Linked DNA regions of Mus musculus. The protein of the gene in region 1 binds, or shares a complex with, the protein of each later gene. Links are inferred from orthologs where the notes say so. Each region holds a gene or a part of one and is shown on either strand. Other genes may lie near its edges. The genes, in order: Gtf2e2 and Polr2b.

Region 1 (9,282 bases):
GTGTTTTAGCTCAGCAACAAAAAGACCAAACCACAACAGTCATTTTGATAGATTCTTTAAAAGTTAAACATAAATTCACATTATCCAGAAATTCTAAGAATTTTCTAAGAATCTAGGCAAGAGAATTATTGCATTTGAGACTATACTGACCTACCTAGTGAATTCCAAGTCAGCCTAAGCTACACAGCAAGATTCTATGTATTCAAACTCCATCAACCAGTAAATAAGCAAACTGTGATATATCAATACAATGGAATACTCTTTGGCAATAAAATACTAACTCACCCAATAACATGGATAAAAATGAAAAACATACTAAATAAAAGAAGCCACGTATAAAAGCACTCCCTGTATACAAGTCTATGTATAGCAATTGTCTAGAAGGCAAATGTACAGACAGAAGGTAGACGGTTGGTTATCTGGGGCTAGGATCAGAAATCACCACAAACGAGCACATCAGACCACTGAATGAGAATGGAAATGTTCTAAAATGGGAGTAATTAGTTGCACTATATTTACTAAAAAAGATTTGCCCTATAATTTTAAAATGTAAATAGCGTGTTCTAGAACCCAACCCTCAGTAAAGTGTAGGTTTTTGCTTTTGTTTTTTAAAACTTTTCCCCCAGTAAGAGTGGTATATACACTTTTTCGCCCTTTAATTTTATTGTATGGATGTTTTGCCAGCATGTGTGCCCATGGAGACCAGAGTTAAAGGTAGTTGCAAGCTGTCGTATGGGTTCTGAAAACATACTATGGATTTAAATTCATCTTTTATATTTAACCAAGAAACTCATTAAGAATATTAAGCTTGCTTGGTGTGACAGCACAGGTCTATTAAAGCTCTAGGAGGCAGGGCAGCCAACTCTGTGGGACCATCTTGTCTACATAGGAAGTTCCAGGCCAGCCAGGAACTGCATAGAGTCCATATCTCAAAAGAGAAACTGAACGTGCCATTACTAGCTTCCCGAAAAATAGTAACAGACGTCCCAAAACAGTTCTCCTCACCTGAATTTTGTTTAGAGCCTGAGGATCCTCCATGTTCGACTTTTGCCTTCTTCTTCTTGGATGAGGAGGAGGAGGGTGACTCAGAAGGCACAGCACGTTTTTCTACCACAGGAGTGGAAAGAGCTCGTTTTTTGAACAGCTCTCGATCTCTCAATAGGCTTGGATCCATAATGCTACAAGACAAACACGAACCTTTAATATATATTCAGATCACTCAAACCCACATGCCATGTCTACAGCCCTTGGCAAGTTAGTTCCCACAACATAGAGTGTCACTGTTCTGTGCAGCAGCTGCACATTAAGTGGCATGAGCAGGGCTGCAGCAGTGTGCACAAGGACTTCCAGGGCTACCTCATGAGCGAGCACTTCGGGGAACCAGCTGCCAACTAGGGTCTCCCCATTGCAGCCATCAATGACATTTAGAAGTCTCCAGAGATCATCAGTGGATAGATGGCTTTCATCCTTTGTTGCCACACTGTGACATTCATGAGATTTGCCTACAAGGTATAACCTGGAATCTGGCTTCTATCTGCACATCATGTAACAAATGAAGTAGATCAGCTCCTTCAGGGAGCACAGCTTATCAACTGTGAGACGAATTAGCAATACAAGAACCAGCTCTTAAAAGGGACAGTGCCCAGTCACTTCTGCCAAACCACAGGTCATTGTAAATAGTCTCGCTGAGGGGAAAACACAGAATGCTATCTCTAATAACCATGCTAACTTTATAGAACAGCCAAGAAACCCTAAGCCAAGTCTGCTGCCTTATCAGTTGTAAACAGCTACCTTCAAGAGCAGTCCAAAATATGTAACTAATAATTCTGAATGGTGGTTATCTCCAGTAATATGGAGTATGCATATATAGTGATGTTCACATATTGGGATTTGTGTAATAAAAATCAAAGGGAACAAAATTTTGTAACTGTAAGAACTTTCATATTCAAAATTCTTGACTTTCTCTTTAATGACAACAATATATCCTTCAGTTAGCCAAATACTGACAAATAATTTCCTGAGGTAAAAAGTTTCAGTGTTTTCCAGTGTATAGACTCAGACTTGTAACTTAATGGCAATAAATGACTTAAGTATTTCTATAAAATACACATGCATACATACATATATGTATACATACATATATACGTTATTATATATACATACGCACACAGAGACAGAGAAATTATCCTCCCCAGCTGGCTCTAGCTGAGGATATAGTTCAGCTGATAGAGCACTTGCCTTGTTTCATGGGGCCCTGGGTTAAATCCTCAGCACACACAAATTTTAATTACAAGCATAACTCACACTTGAAGCTCACATTATATACTGTGTACCAGTGCTCTAGAAGTTAGAAAGCATATTTAGGCTCATTGAAGAAGGAAGGGGGAGAAGGGGGAGGGGATGGGAAAGGGAAGAAAAGGGAAGGAAAGGGGAGGAGTGGAACTGCTATAAATTAAATGGTGTGTTTTAAAAACCAGTGCCCTCTTATTAATTAAGAAAGCTGGATTAAGGTATTAAAAACATCTATAGAAGCTGGGCATAGTGGTTGCACACCTTTAATCTCAGCAATTAACCTGGAGCAGAAGCAAGCAGATTTCTGTGAGTTCAAGGCAAGGGTCTACATACAGAGTTCTAGGACAGCCAGGACTACATAGAAAGACACTGGAGGGGTAAAAGTGTACAGAAAATTCCTGATTTAGGAGGTAAAACTAAATGATCATTCCCGCTCCTCCCCCCCACCCCACCCCCAGTTATAAAACTGTAGTTTTATAAGCATTTTTAAGCAATCTCAACACAACCAGAACACAAGAACCACCAGTTGAATCACCATGAATCTTACAAAAAGTCTTTTCTCTTCCTAGCACTCTGCAGCACGGTTCAGAAAAGCTCACTCTTGCCCCTGTGAATGAATTTCACACTAGTGTTCAGTCAGGGGGGAAAGACCACTCTACAGAGGCTACTTCCAATGATAACCCTTTCATACACTGAAAATATTTTAAGTTGAAAAAAAATGCATTCAATCCATCTTTTGTACTGAACATAAATGCCTAGCAACCTGGTACACAACAGCATATCAACTGTGCCTTTGTGATATCGACTGGGAGCTCACGGCAGCTGCCTAGCATCATTAAAGTACTAAGTCACTAGCCTAGCAAAACAGCGTTAACCTCAAGTTCAGTTTTTACTAAGTATTGCTTCCACGTACATCTTCAGGAAAGCCGGAGCATCCTAACTGGTTCCACACACACTGAGTTCCTTGATTAAATAACAGGGAGATGGAGACTGGAGATATAGCTTGCTGGAGGCAAGTGGCAGTGTGACAGGTTCAATCTTGATCCAAAGGGATTTAAAAAAAAAAAAAAGCACTCATATGGAAAACTCACTGTGAACTTTATGTAAGAAGAGTCGAAGAGTCCCTGGTCTAAGAGTAAAACATCTGCTCCTCCCAGTTTCAATTCCTAACATTTGAGCAAATAATCTACAGAACTGCTCTAAATGTAGTTTCCTCCTAGGTCTGGGGAATGGGGCACTATCAGTGTTGTACATACTTGGCTCAACTCTAAAAGTGAGGAAGTATTTATGAAAGATTTTTTTTCAAGAGTAATTGTTATTTTGGTTGTATTAGGTAAGAAATTAACATTAACTTAATATGCAAGTGAGAGAGGTATGAGTAGGGAAAGCATGAAAATAAGAAAAAATTCACAACGTGAGAAGACTGAGGAAACAGGCAGTTTGCAACTCCTAAAACAGGAACATTTTACTTCATAAGGTCAGATGACTAATCTGGACGTCAAATAAAGACTTTAGGACAGATCAAACCTGTACAACTTAGAAAAACCTAACTACATAATGCCCACAAGTCTGAAAGACTAAGCATTAGTGCTATGGCTAATTTTAACACATAAAACCTGAATAGAAGTGGCACAACTAAGTAAGAAGTCATGTGTCCCAGCCCTGGAACCCTAGCAAAGCTTTCTGAAATAAGAGAGACCTCTCTATATGATGATACCAACAAAGGCACCCAGAGCAAGCGGTTTACTCTCCGGAGTTCCAACTAACTTTTCCTCCTTTTGCAACCAACATCTGTACTGCAGTGCACATCTTAGGGCTAACCTGGGTGGTAAAGAAACTATATCCACGTCTACTTTACATTAATCTGGTCAATCAAAAGCCCCGAACAGGATGTTACGACCGAGAGCTGGTACGTTTCACGGTGGATAGCTACCGGAAAACTAACATTTCAAATCTTCAGGCTCCACTGTCCAGTTCTTTCCTACCCCAGAATCTGCAATCTTCCAGCAGCCTGTCTGTCTACTCTGTCTCTCGCTTCACGGCTCGCCCCCGAGTACCGGAGCACATCAGGAAAACGGAGCGCAGAGTTCGATCGGGAAAATACCTCTCGACTCCTCCGAAAACTCACAACCTCAAAAAGTTTAAAGCAGCATTAGAAAAGCCAGTCGGGAGGGGACGCCATGGTGGTCCCCCCAACTCCACACAGGGATGAGCTCGGCTGCTGTGGTTGTGGCCAAGAAGCGGTCGGCACCATCCGCTCGCCCACCCGGAATCCTTCCCGCTTTCCAACCCGAAAGTTTGCTGTATGGACGTCCGGCCTAAAAGACAATGCTGGCTGGGGCGAGCCCCTCCTCTCGGGGGCTCGGCTTTGGAGAACGGCTCGGCGGCGTGGCGTCCACGCGCGCGTCCCCTCGGAAGACGCGTCCCGCTTCGGGGCAGCCGAGTCCCACGCGGGACTCGTCCCCCTTCGCCCGCCGCCGCAGTCCCTACCTCAGCGCCCGCAGCCCGCGCCGCCTCCCAGCCTCCGCCTCGGCCGCACGCACGCACGCACTCACGCACGCACACACCCGCCCACCGCGGGCCCGCTTCCCGCCCCCCGCCGCCGTCGCGGCGCGCACGCCCAACACGGACCTGCCAAGGGGGTCGAACCCGAGGCGGCCGTGGTGGTGGCGTTGGCGACACAGCCCCGGCCCCGCCCTCCACTTCCTGGTGCGGCGGCTAGGACGCTCGCTCCCAGCAACCACCGCGACGCCGCTCCGAAAAGGCGCCTGCGTCACGGCGTGCTCCGCCCCGAGTTTCCATGACGACCGGAGCGCGCTCAAAGGCTGCCGGTAGCCACGTTTACTCTACCAGCTCTGCTCTAGGGAAGAACGGAAAGCCGCTTTTCTTGGCACAAAGTCGGAGCAGCTCCTTCAGCCGGCTCTGGAGTCTAACCCAACCGGCAACATTACCAATAAATCTGTCATATTTTTTGGAGGGTGGGTGGTTTTGGTTATTTGAGACAAGGTCTTCCTGTGTTGCCCTGATTGGCCTGGAACTTGAATTAAAGTTGCAGAGATCGTTCTGCCTCGGCCTACCAAGTGCTGCTCCATGCCAAGCTTTTTTATTTTATTTCAAATACCACTCACCAGAACCACCTTTAACAAGTGGCGGGGGGCTTGGGGGTGGGAGGGACAGTCTAGCAAAGGCAAACTCAACATAGAATTCAACTTCTGGACTTCAACCTCAAAACTTACAGCTCAGCTTCTGCGCTTCGAACACCGGCTCTTTTCATACCTGTGACCTGTCTTTGATTTTTTGGGGGACAATATAAGATGTGGGTGCGATATTTGGCAACAACAACAAATAATAATAATTGGCCCATCCTGCACCCTACAACTATCCTTGTTTGTACAGCCTAATCCAGTATTTAAATATCCCATAGCTGTAGTTTATTAGTACTAATTACTTTGGGTCTTAGTTTTGTATGTCCCGCCCCCCCCCCAACATAGGATACTAGTGATGATGCAGAAACTAACTTTGTATAACTAAATTTTTGTCAGGTCCAAAGGAGAGTCCAATTCTTCAAACTTCAAATGACAGTCCGAAGATCCACTAGTTAACTTAATCTGGACTATACGAGGAGTTCTAACAACTGACAAAAGACGGCGGCATTCCTCCGGAACTTGTGAAGCTCTAGTTTCTGTCTAGGAAAATGACTCATTTCCCTTTCCTCCAGCAAAAGTGACTTATGGCTCTCCAATTAACATGTCAGCACAAGGTGCAAGCCCGGCAGCCTCCAGACTCCCTCAGTCCCTACAAGCACTTATACATTTCAAAGCCTGCTCACCAGTCCCCTGGCCCTTCCCACCCGCCCACCGATTACTCATTCTTCTTGTTCACTCTTCTCCGCTCCTGCTGCTGCTTTTCTCAATAAGCTTCCCCTATTTTCTATCAGTGGCCATTTTCCCGTTTCTTGTAGACAGTCCTGGCAAAGCCCAGTCTGCTACACATGGTCAATCTACTACTTTCTCTCTCTGCCCTGGACTCTCCAGATCCCTGTGGCTGTTCTCACTCTCATGTCTCCAATAAAAACCTTAGCCATAACATGGGGTGGTCATGTTGGCAGTTTCTTCACCACACCCCTCTTGTATACATCCAGTGCCAAACATGCATACAGTCTTAGGGTTACCGGGATGAAACAACGTAATGAAACCCTTGGAGAGGAAAGGGTTTATTTCAGCTTACACGTCCAGGTAACAGTCCATCTGTCTTAGTAAGGCTTTACTGCTGTGAACAGACACCATGACCAAGGCAACTTTTATAAGGACAGCATTTCATTGGGGCTGGCTTACAGGTTCAGAGGTTCAGTCCATTATCATCAAAGCAGGAACATGGCAGCATCCAGACAGGCATGGTACAGAAGGAGCTAAGAGTTCTACATCTTCATCTGAAGGCTTCTAGCAGAACACTCACTTCCAGGCAGCTAGGATGAGAGACTTAAAGCCCACACACCACAGTGACACACCTACTCCAACAAGGCCATACCTACTCCAACAAGCCACACCTTCTAATAATGATACTCCCTGGGCCAAGCTTATACAAACCTTAACGCCATCACTGAGGGAAGTCAGGGCAGGAACCTGAAGGCAGAAGCTGATGTAGAGGCAATGGGATTGGAGGAAAAGATCCCCCTGCCTCCACGCTCTGCTGGGATTAAGAGCATTTGCCATTGTTGTGCTCTGAGTCCACAGGAAACCCAGATGAGCCCAAGAATGTCAAAGTCTGCTGCAACTCACTAAAGAGTCTTTTATTGTTTCAAGTTTGAACTCAGATAGTCAACCCAGCACTCACTGCGTGAATGTTGGCAAGCGACCCTGAGTCCAGACAGAAAACATTGGATTTATATACAATATAGTTAGAATAGTGTGAATATTCATGGAAAAGGGGAGTAGAGGGTAGAATAGTACTGAATTGGGGGGGTGTTAATGGGTGTCTGTTCAAGGACTAATTTTATGGCCATTCGTAACTGTGACCTGACCTCTGTTTACTTTTTTCCCATGGTCTCCCTTGAGCTTGTTATTTCTCTAAGGTCTCAAGGACAGGCACCTGGAGTGTTGCTGCTTATCAGCAGGAGTGTTTGGTTTTTGGAGACACAGAGGCGGAGAGGATGTCTCCTCAGAACATCCTCATTAAGGGGGGGGTTTTATGGGTGGTGCCATTCTAATGCTAGGGGAGGGGGAGGCAGAGGCAAACTGTACAACACTGAAGTCTCTCTGGTATCAGTAATCCAGGGGTTACAACACCACCAATCTTGGCAACCTTGCTAGGTTTAAAGGGACGAGTTGCAGCAGGAGGAAGCATGAAGTGGGAACAGCCTGGAAATAAGGTTAGCAGGAGGAGAGAGGGCTAGTCCAGAAAAGCCTGGGAGCTAGTGTGGGGACTCTGACGAGTGTCACAGGTATGTTTTGACAGGGAACGAGATGCTCCATTGCCAGAGATGGGCCATAGAGGCAGAAGCGATGAAACACTCTTCCTGAAAAACAGAGACCCACTTCACAGTTTTCTGAGAAATATTAATTTAGGCTTTTGTTTATCCACTATCAATCCTCCTGTTTACCCTGTCAGAATTCAGTCTGAGCTGAACTCAGACTGTCATTGATGACACTGGCAGCAGCACTGCCATTTTGGGGGTGTCTGCTTTGGACACAAGAAGGTCCAATACTGTGGGGAAACTGTTAATTAAGGCCGAAGTCCACCATGACCTCTGGGTTTGGTGCCATGTGGGAGACTCCCTTCATTAGCAGGGCTTCCCTTCTCTGACCTTGCCTGGGGAATTCAAGACCCCCACACATACACCTCTACCTGAGGAAAGTCACATACCCTCGATTAGATTATAGGATCAATTTCCATCCTCCTAGTAAAACCTGTCAGCTAGCACCTGAGATTCCTGAAATGTTTCCCCTGCTAATGAAGCATTTAAGTACCCTAAGCCCTCAACCAATGACCTCTGCCTGTCCTGGATGTTCCTACCTGCAGACCCACAAAGCTTTATAAACCTCGAATCACCCTAATAAAGTTGATCTGCCTCCTGATAATTGGTCCCAGTATGGTCATTCTCACAGAACTCCGGTTACCCATGAACACTACCCGCCCCCCCCCAGGTCATCTCTGCTTCCACTGCCCTAGTGGGCCATATCAGCAGATGACCCACAAGAGCAGGGAGACCCACACAATACAATAAAAACAATCCCAAAGGTTAAAATCTTATCACCCTGAGAAACAGGTGGCAGGCACCAATTCAGCAGGTTTTATTCTAACACTCCTTTCTTTTAAGACTGTAAACTCAACTTTGTCATATCTTCATGGAATTAGTTATATTCTTCATGCTGCTTTAGGGATGATGAGAGATTTGGTGAACAAAGCCAGACCGCATATGATAAAACTCTCAGCCATATCAATCGCACCACAACTTGTGGAGCAATCTACTCAAATGGTCAGGACTTCCTCGGGAGAGTTGCTAACGCTCCGTTTGAGGCTTAGGTTCTTGGGCCCCCTCAGAGTTGCACCAACTGGATGCTTCCCTAACCACGACACAGGATGCTTACTTCTGGGTACCCTGCCTCCAGCTTTCCTGCCAGCTTGGTCTACAGAGTGAGCTCCAGGACTGCTAGGGCTACACAGAGAAGCCTGTCTCAAACAAACAAACAAACAAACAAACAAACAAAAGAGCAAAGTCACAGAGGGTCTGAGTAAGTTATACAAGGTATATGGAGAATAGGACTTGAGAATAACATGTTTTATGATTAAGGTTTATAAAGTCCCAAGTTTATAATGGTCTATTCATGCTAACAGTAGCTGATGGAAAGATGTATGTCTAGTCAGTTATGTCTTTGCTAGCTTTGTTGAGCTTTAGCTAACTGGAAAAACTGAGCCATACAAAAAAACTGTGACATTGTGTAAAGTACACCATCAAAGGATTAGGGGAACAAGGTTCGCAACCTTCTCCAT
Region 2 (8,552 bases), on another chromosome or scaffold:
CAGATGGACATCATTGTATCCGAAGTAAGAATTTCCTTTTTTCTTGTTTTCACAGTGTTGACAGCTGAATCCATGGCCTTGCTCATATTAGGCAAATGTTCTTCCATTGAGCTATAGCTAATATAGTAGTAAGGATCTAGAATTAGCTAAAAGGGTGTTTTATTTCTCTACGTACTTTGTGTGTGTGTACGTGCACATATGGATGTGTATCATGGTGTGCATATGGAGGTCTGAGGATAGCTGTGGGGGTCAGCTTTCTCTTTCTGTCAAGTTGGTTCTGGGGATTGAACCCAGGTCATCCGGCTTGGGAGTAATTACCTTCACCCACCCTGGCCTTGATTTCACTTTTTTAAAAGCAATTTCATGGGTAGGTATGACCCAAATTCAGTTTTCCAACGTTTGGGAAATTTGTTTATTTTAGTTATTGACTTTTAAGATTAGATAATTCACTGGAGTTTGAGTTTGCTTTTTTGACTTCTTTACATATAAGCACTTCAGTTTCTGTAGTGCTATTAATTATTCATAAATTTTATATTGCATATTTTTCCAAGATACATTATATATTTTCTATGAATGTGTTTATAGACCATGCAGTAGAAATACTATACAATTAAAATTTTTCAGTGGTCACATTAAAAAAGTAAAACATAGGGGCTGGAGAGATGGCTAAGTGGTTAAGAGCACCAACTGCTCTTCCGAAGGTCCTGAGTTCAAATCCCAGCAATCACATAGTGGCTCACAACCATCTGTAATGAGATCTGATGCCCTCTTCTGGTGCATTGGAAGACAGCTACAGTGTACTTACATATAATAATAAATAAATCTTTTTTTTTTTTTTTAAGTAAAAACATAAACAAATGAAATAACTTTTAATTCTATATTTTATTTGACTGATACATCCAAAATGTTACCCTTCAAATATTACTAATATAAAAGTGTTAGTGTAATGCTTTATATTTTAAAATATATTAGTATCTTTTAAATCTATGAAATTTATTCTTGTAGCTCATTTCAGTTCAGAATGGTCACATTTGAGGTACTCAGTAATCACCTGGCTGGTAGCTGCTGTAGGTGGACTGTAAGCCGTTTGTCTGCTAGGTGAGAAAGTCAGGCTTCGGAGGAAATGGGAAAGTGTGGGCAAGACAGCAGCATCCCAGCACGGTGTGCTGTCTTTAAAACAATCCCAGTATTCTGGAGGCAGGGGATGGATGGATCAGTGTGTTTAAGGGCAGCCTGCTCTGCATAAAGTGATTCTAGACAGAGCTACATAGAGAGATCCTGTTTAAGAAAAAGAGGAACTTAGGGCCGGTTCCTGGAAGGTAGCAAGATGAAATACCTGTACTGAAATAAGGCTTGGGACTGTAGGACTGTAGCTCAGTGGTACAGCGCCTGCCTAGCAGAAGCCGGGCCCGAGGTCCTTTCTCCAGCACTACAAGAACAAACTGAAAGAAGTAGTAAACATACAAGTCTAAAATAAGAACATTTTATATACTTGTGGTTGTGGTACTGAAAAATGCTTTCTTCATTTTGCATTGACTTGTGTACTCTTCTGATGTTATTCAGCTGAATAATTAAGGTGAGGTTAGATTTTTTTTCTACTCATGAGTTTTACGATTACATCTTTTTATAATAGATTAACAATGGTAGATTTATCTTTTTGTTTTGAGTTTTTTTGACAAGTGTATACAGTTGAAGAGCAAACCTAGAGGCCCACACATGCTAGGGCAAGCTCTCCATCGCTTAGCTGTGTGTGTCCTTTCATTTTACATGTCTGAATGTTTGCCTTAATGTATGTATGTGCTCCTTGTGTGTGCCTGGTGTCTGTGGAGGCCAGAAGGGGGTACAAGATCCTTTAGACCTGGAGTGACAGGTGGTTGTCAGTCGCCATGTGGGTGCCTGAACTTGAATTCTCTGCAAGTGATCTTAAGTGCTGAGCCACCTCTCCAACTCTTCCTTTTGAGATGTAGTCTTGCTAATTTGTCTATGCTGGTGTTAAACTTGTAGATCAACTGATCCTGTCCTTCAGCTTCCTGAATGATGGTGTGATAGGTGACTCCTACAGTGCCCAGCTACTTGTATTTTTAGCTGAATTGTCATCATACCAAAAAAAAATAACGAGATTGTTTTGTCTTTTATATCTAGGTTTCTATGATCAGAGATATTCGAGAGCGGGAGATTCGGATCTATACAGATGCAGGCCGTATTTGTAGACCCCTTCTGATTGTGGAAAAGCAGAAGCTGCTTTTGAAGAAGAGACACATTGACCAGTTGAAAGAGAGAGAATATAACAACTACAGGTAAGATGGTGGGTGAGAAGCAAAGTACATGTAGTCAGAAAACTGCCATGGAAAGTATATAGTTAGTTGTTTTCAGTGTAGTCACAAGATTGGACAGCCACTGTCACTCTCCAGTGTACGATCTTATCAGTGCCCTGGGAGAAGCGTACCATCAGCAGCCATATTTATTTTTCTTGTTTTTTTGTTATTGGTTTACAGTGGACTTGTGGGATTTGTATTGAAGTGTGAAGTCTTTTGATGTGATAAATGCAATGATAAATAACCTGTGTAGTGCAGCACACAGTACGTGTAATGTGACTAGTATATTTTGAGGGGAACGTTCTTGTTCTTGCTGTATAGGCCAGGCTGACCTGGAACACGCAGTGAAATCCAGGGCTGGCCTTGAACTTATGACCTTCTTGCCTCAACTTCCTGAGTACAGAGAATATAGATCGTGTGCCACCACTCCTAGCAAAAATAAGAAATTTAATAGAAAATGAACTTGCTTTAAAAATTTACTCTAAATAATATCATAGGTGTATTGTAAAGTAACGTGTAGTAAACGAGTGAGTGCTCTCAATTCATGTTTGCTGATTTTGCCATAATTTTTTTCATAATGTCCTTTACAAATACATATGAATAATAGGTGGATATATGTATTCTACCAGGCCTTATTTTGTGTTTTTCCTACTTCTTGTCCCTATTTCACAAGTATAGATTTTTTAAAAAGAATTATTTATTTATTTTATGAATATGAGTACACTGTAGCTGTCATCAGACACACCAGAAGAGGGCATCAGATCTATCAGTGATGGTTGTGAGTTGCTGGGATTTGAACTCAGGACCTCTGGAAGAGCAGTTAGTACTCTTAACTGCTGAGTCACCTCTCAGGCCCACAAGTGTAGGTCTTTAAAACAAAGTGAATAGCAGATGTAGTCTAATAGGGTATATATAGTCCAGCAGCCTTTTCACATTAACAGTCATGTCTCTGAATTCTTTCCATGTTAATACAAACACAAATAGGAATAGTTTTAAAGCAGTAGGCTTTGTCTTACAGTATCTCATGAAACTGACTTGTTTTAGTTGGCAGGATCTGGTAGCCAGTGGGGTAGTAGAGTATATTGATACCCTGGAAGAGGAGACCGTGATGCTTGCAATGACTCCAGATGATTTGCAGGAGAAGGAAGTAGCTTATTGTTCTACCTACACCCACTGTGAGATTCACCCATCAATGATTCTTGGAGTCTGTGCATCTATTATTCCTTTTCCTGATCATAACCAGGTTGGTCGTACTTCTGTCTTCTGGTTTGCAAAGATCGGGGAAGTAATCAATATTAGAAATTAGTATGAAGACTTGTCAGGGGGTGTGAGCACTACAGACTCAGCTGTTTGACGTGCTTATTAGTTACTTTTCTGTTCCTGTGATAATATGCCACGGCCAAGGCAACTTACAGATGGAAGTTTATTTTGGGCTCTGCTTCCAGAGGGATAAGAGTCCATGATGAAGGAGCAGAGGCAGGGGAATAGCAAGCTGTTATCGTTATCCTAGTCCTTATCTAATAGCATGAAGCGAAGAGCAAGGTGGGGATGGCGCGTGACTTTGAAACCCAAAGCTGGTCCCCAGGGATGTGCTCCTGGCAAGGCTACAGCCCCTAAACCTCCAGAAACAGCGCCATCGTCTGGGAACCAAGTGCTCAAACGGCAAGACTGGGGGCTCCATTTACAGCGCCACCGGTGCTTGCTCTTGTTCTTGTTGAGAGCCATAAGGGCTTATTACTTGTCTGAGAAAAAGACAAGGCCAGAAACTTTTTAACCAATTATTTCTCTGATGTGTTATTAAATATTCATTGTCTTTACTTTCTGTTTCTACCACTAGTCCCCTAGAAACACATACCAGTCTGCTATGGGCAAGCAGGCTATGGGAGTTTATATCACCAACTTCCATGTGCGGATGGACACCTTGGCCCATGTTCTCTACTATCCTCAGAAACCCCTTGTGACTACACGGTCTATGGAATATCTACGATTCAGAGAGCTGCCAGCAGGTACGTTCGGTGTGCTCTTTGTTTTTTACGATTTTGCCTTGCTTAAGACTCTGCAGTGAGAAGTGCTTGGGAAGATTAAAAACCGCACACAACACTGACTGCTTTCCAGACTTTAGATGTGGAACCATGAATGAATTAAAACAGTGGATGTGTGGAAAGGGTTATGTTGGGTATAAAGTCCTATTCAAGTACAGTGTCAAAATGATTGATTCCTCTTGGAATGTAGAGCCACTTTTAAGGAGGATATTGGTAAAGGGGGTATTTGAATTTGAATTTGAGCAAAGGCCTTCCTTCATTTGTGAACCCATGAGATGTGGGACTAGGTCATGTCGGTGCAGTGTGGCCAGAGCATCATATGTGACTGAAGCTTGTTCTCGTGGTGTGGAAAGAGCCGGACCTGTTTGAATATTGTTTTAAAAGTGAAGGCTTGGAGTTGGCAGCTCCCTAGAGCTGGAGAATCAGGTTTTGTTAAGGGTGTGGCCATTGGTAGTTCTACTCCTCTTGAGTGAATGGCCCCACATCCATGAGTATATAACAGCAGAAATTGGATTCCATGGGTATTAAAATATGATTATTACACTTTCAGCTTTTTAAAAAACCTCACTAATTTCCACAGTGGTTGCACCAGGGTGCACTCCCAGTAACAGTGAATAGGGCTCCTCTTTCTCACATCCTGGTCTGCATTTCCTCCTGTGATCTCTGAGTAGCCTTTCTGACTGGAGTGTGAGGGAATCTCAGAGTGGCTCTAATCTCCGTTTTGCTGGTGGCTGATGATGTTGAACACTTAAAATGTTTACTAGCCACCGTATTCCTTTAAGAACTCTGTTCAGCTTCTTGATGTTTGTTTGTTTGTTTGTTTTAGATTAGATTCAAATCCTCTGTTGGGCATTGACCCACAAAGATTTTCTCCCATTCTGTAGGCTGTTTCTTCATTTGATTGACAGTTCCCTTTGCAGGGAATTATTGGCCAAATTTCCCGAGTGATTGGAGTCCTATTCAGAAAACCATGGCAATGTTTATGGTGAAGTGTACTCTCCAGTTTCTTTATCACAATTTCTGAGTCTTAGGGGCTTATGTTAAGGTCCTTGAATCATTTGAAAATTGTTTGTGCTTATTTTATGTGTGTGAATGTCTTGCGTGCATGTATATGTGTATGTGTACCACAAGCATGCAGTGCCCACAGAGGCTAGAAGAAGGTATCCAATCTCTCCTGGAGTTATAGATGGTTGTTAGCTGAACCTTAGTCAAACAGGAGACAGAGGCTTCCAGATCTCTTGCAGTTTGAGGCCAACCTGGCTTACATATTGAGTACTAAATCAATCTGATTTACATAACGGACCCTGTCTTAAACAAAAAAATTAAAAATTAGGTGCTGTAGTTACGTGTCCTCTGTTTTATTCCATTGATCTCTATATCTGATTTTTTGCTGTTTTTGTTACTTTGGCCTGTAGTATACTTTGAAGTTAGGCAGTATTTTTATGCTCAGGACTGCGTTTGCTGTCTGGGTCTCTTGTGCTTTCAAATGAATGATAAGATTGCTTTCTCTGTCTCTGTGCAGAATAGCACTAGGGATTATGTTGGTAGCTTTCCCATGGTAGGATACCCATCTCCACAATATTAATCCTGATTCATGGAACTGTGAGGTATCTGTGTCTTCCAGTGTCTTCCTCAGTTTGAACACTTTCTAGTGCTTTAGTTTACTATATTATGTGTTATCAATCTTCTTCTTCCTCCTCTTTCCTCTTTTTTTTTTTCTTTGATAAAAGATTGGGTCACTATATCCCATAGGCTGAGTTTCCTACACGCTTCGTTAGTGCTGGGAATACAACTTTGGGCTTCATAATTCCTTACAATGAATCAATCTCTTATTGTTTATTATTACTGTGCACAGATGCTGTGCCATACATATAGATCATAGGACAGTTTTGTGGAGTTGGTTCTTCCCATTTTATATAGGTTCTGGGGTCAGACTTAGTTGGCCAGACTTGTACAGCAAATGCCATAGTGTGGGCTCACCTTCTTTTTTTCTCGTTCCCTCCCTCTCCCACCTCCCCTTTCATTGCCTCCCTCTCCCCACTCCTCCTCCTTCCTGGTGCTGTTTAAAGATGGGATGGTCCTATGTTGCCCAGGCTGTTTTCATATTCCTGAGCTAACATGGTCCTCCTGCCCTTGCCTCCCCGAGTGTCAGGTGGTAGACCTGTGGCACACACCTAGCCACCTATCCATTACAGTAGTTAGGGCAGCAGCTACTAAGATCTAACTGTGGCCTGAAAGATGGTGCCACAACTGTGGTGGCATGGGGAGAGAGCAGCAGGGTGGTGTTGGTTTCATATTTAAAATTAGAAATTAGGAGGCTAGGGTCTGAGGCTTGAGTTTGTCGCTAATTCACTCTGGAGGCGTATGTATGTTCTTACCTTAGAGTCGTGAGAACAATAAAGCTTGTTTATTTAGGGTTAGGGGAAGCACTCTGTAGTTATAGACCATGTTACATGGAGGAGTACTGATAGTAAGGATGGCTTCCCTGGGAGTGATGGTTTCAGGGTTAAGCAAGCAGAGCATTTGCCTCACACACAGGTTCAGGGAGGAGGAGACAGCAACAGTTTCCATGATACAAACATCCAAGTGTTTGTGACAAATAGGATGAAAGAAAATGGATTTCAATGAAAGGATAGGTTTCCCTGCTTCCCAGAGGGTCCTTTACTGTTTGTTTTTGAATGTACTGTAGGAATCAACTCAATTGTGGCCATTGCATCCTACACGGGCTATAATCAAGAAGACTCTGTTATCATGAATCGTTCAGCTGTGGATCGAGGCTTTTTCAGGTCAGCTTATAGTAATATTTGTTGAAACACAGATATAGTGGAAATGCATTTTTTTTCATAAAGTTTTTAAAGAATAAGCTTGACTGCCCTAATCCAAAAGCAGACCTGGCTGGTGGTCATACAGCTATTGGCGGTGAGTCTTGTGTCTCTGGGTTTTCAGATGTGATATTTTAAATGTTTTTCTGTTGTAAGCAAATATGTAATTGCATTTAGATAATATAGAAACATCTAAGGAAGAAATAGAAAATAGAACTCTGAAATAACTGCTGGTAAAATAATGGTGTGTTTTATCTGTTTTCTTGTTTGTTTTTAGAGACAATTTCACTATGTAGTTGAAGCTGGCCTTGAACTTACAGTGTAGTCCAGGCTGGCTTTGAACTTACAGTGTAGTCCAGGTTGGCTTTGAACTCACAGCAGTCCTTCATCCCAGTCTTCTGGGTTTTGGGATTACAAATGTGCACCATGACTTGGCTTCCTATATTCCCCTTTCTTACTGACAATAGATTAATCTTAAATATGTAGTAGCATAAGAAGGTTCTTTCAAACACGGGGGATTTAGAGGGGAAACTTTTCTCCTTATATAATTCTATAAAGCAGCACCAGGACTGAAGTGTGGACATCATAACTTCATATAAAAACGCCTCAGTGGGGATACTTGAGCAGATGAAGGCAGGCCGTGCTCGGGCTGCTAGGAGAGGAATTCTGTCAGTAGGAGGCTGGACTTATTACCTGGGTCCCCCTGGTCTCATGTGTGATGCCAAGTGTTTACAGTTGTGAGTCAAATGCTACATGTAAAATCCATTTAAACTGAACCTTGACCCTAGTACATAGTGACCCTTGTGCCTGTTTTGTGGTTCAAATTGTCTCTCAGATATCAGTTAAGCCAAACACCATTGCTGTAATCTAAGCCATTTTACTGAAAGAAAATATAAATGACCTTTGCAACTGTGTTTTTAGGTCTGTTTTCTACCGATCATACAAAGAACAAGAGTCTAAAAAGGGATTTGATCAAGAAGAAGTGTTTGAGAAGCCTACACGTGAGACATGCCAGGGTAAGAGACAGCGATGTCTGCTGGGGTCAGGGCTTGTTAGCAGCATTCTTCAGTGTCAGCACGAAAGCCACAGCGAGCTCATACACAGGCGCAGGAAGACTAGCTCCGGGTGACCAGCTCTGACTTAAGCCAGACATAACAGTCCATATTGGCCTTTGATTTGAAGACTCCTATGTAAAGCATTGTGGAATTTCTTAAGACCTCATACAGGATATTCAGAACATACAGGACAAAACCAGGGTATGTGGTCAGCATGTCCTTTAGCCAAGTCACTTTTTTGTGTCAGTGACTGGTAGGCATGTTACAGCAACAATATGAAATAGCTGGCAGGCATGAACAAAATGACTACAGCTATTC

What was found.
Region 2: Gtf2e2 (region 1) and Polr2b share a complex: the UniProt entries of both Homo sapiens proteins name them as parts of the TBP-based Pol II pre-initiation complex. The link is inferred for Mus musculus from reciprocal best matches to the Homo sapiens genes GTF2E2 and POLR2B.

The regions. Positions count from the first base shown.
Region 1 is NC_000074.6:33,727,630-33,736,911, reverse strand, and holds the start of Gtf2e2 (general transcription factor IIE subunit 2), read right to left. Parts: upstream 4,846-9,282; 5' UTR 4,783-4,845; exon of another isoform or gene 4,238-4,782; intron 3,331-4,237; exon of another isoform or gene 3,206-3,330; intron 3,187-3,205; exon of another isoform or gene 2,840-3,186; intron 2,726-2,839; exon of another isoform or gene 1,362-2,725; coding exon of another isoform or gene 1,357-1,361; intron 1,179-1,356; coding exon of another isoform or gene 1,175-1,178; coding exon 1,006-1,174; intron 1-1,005. UniProt on the Homo sapiens protein: Recruits TFIIH to the initiation complex and stimulates the RNA polymerase II C-terminal domain kinase and DNA-dependent ATPase activities of TFIIH. Both TFIIH and TFIIE are required for promoter clearance by RNA polymerase.
Region 2 is NC_000071.6:77,332,275-77,340,826, forward strand, and holds part of Polr2b (DNA-directed RNA polymerase II subunit RPB2), read left to right. Parts: coding exon 1-24; intron 25-2,142; coding exon 2,143-2,297; intron 2,298-3,359; coding exon 3,360-3,558; intron 3,559-4,152; coding exon 4,153-4,321; intron 4,322-7,046; coding exon 7,047-7,143; intron 7,144-8,100; coding exon 8,101-8,195; intron 8,196-8,552. UniProt on the Homo sapiens protein: Catalytic core component of RNA polymerase II (Pol II), a DNA-dependent RNA polymerase which synthesizes mRNA precursors and many functional non-coding RNAs using the four ribonucleoside triphosphates as substrates.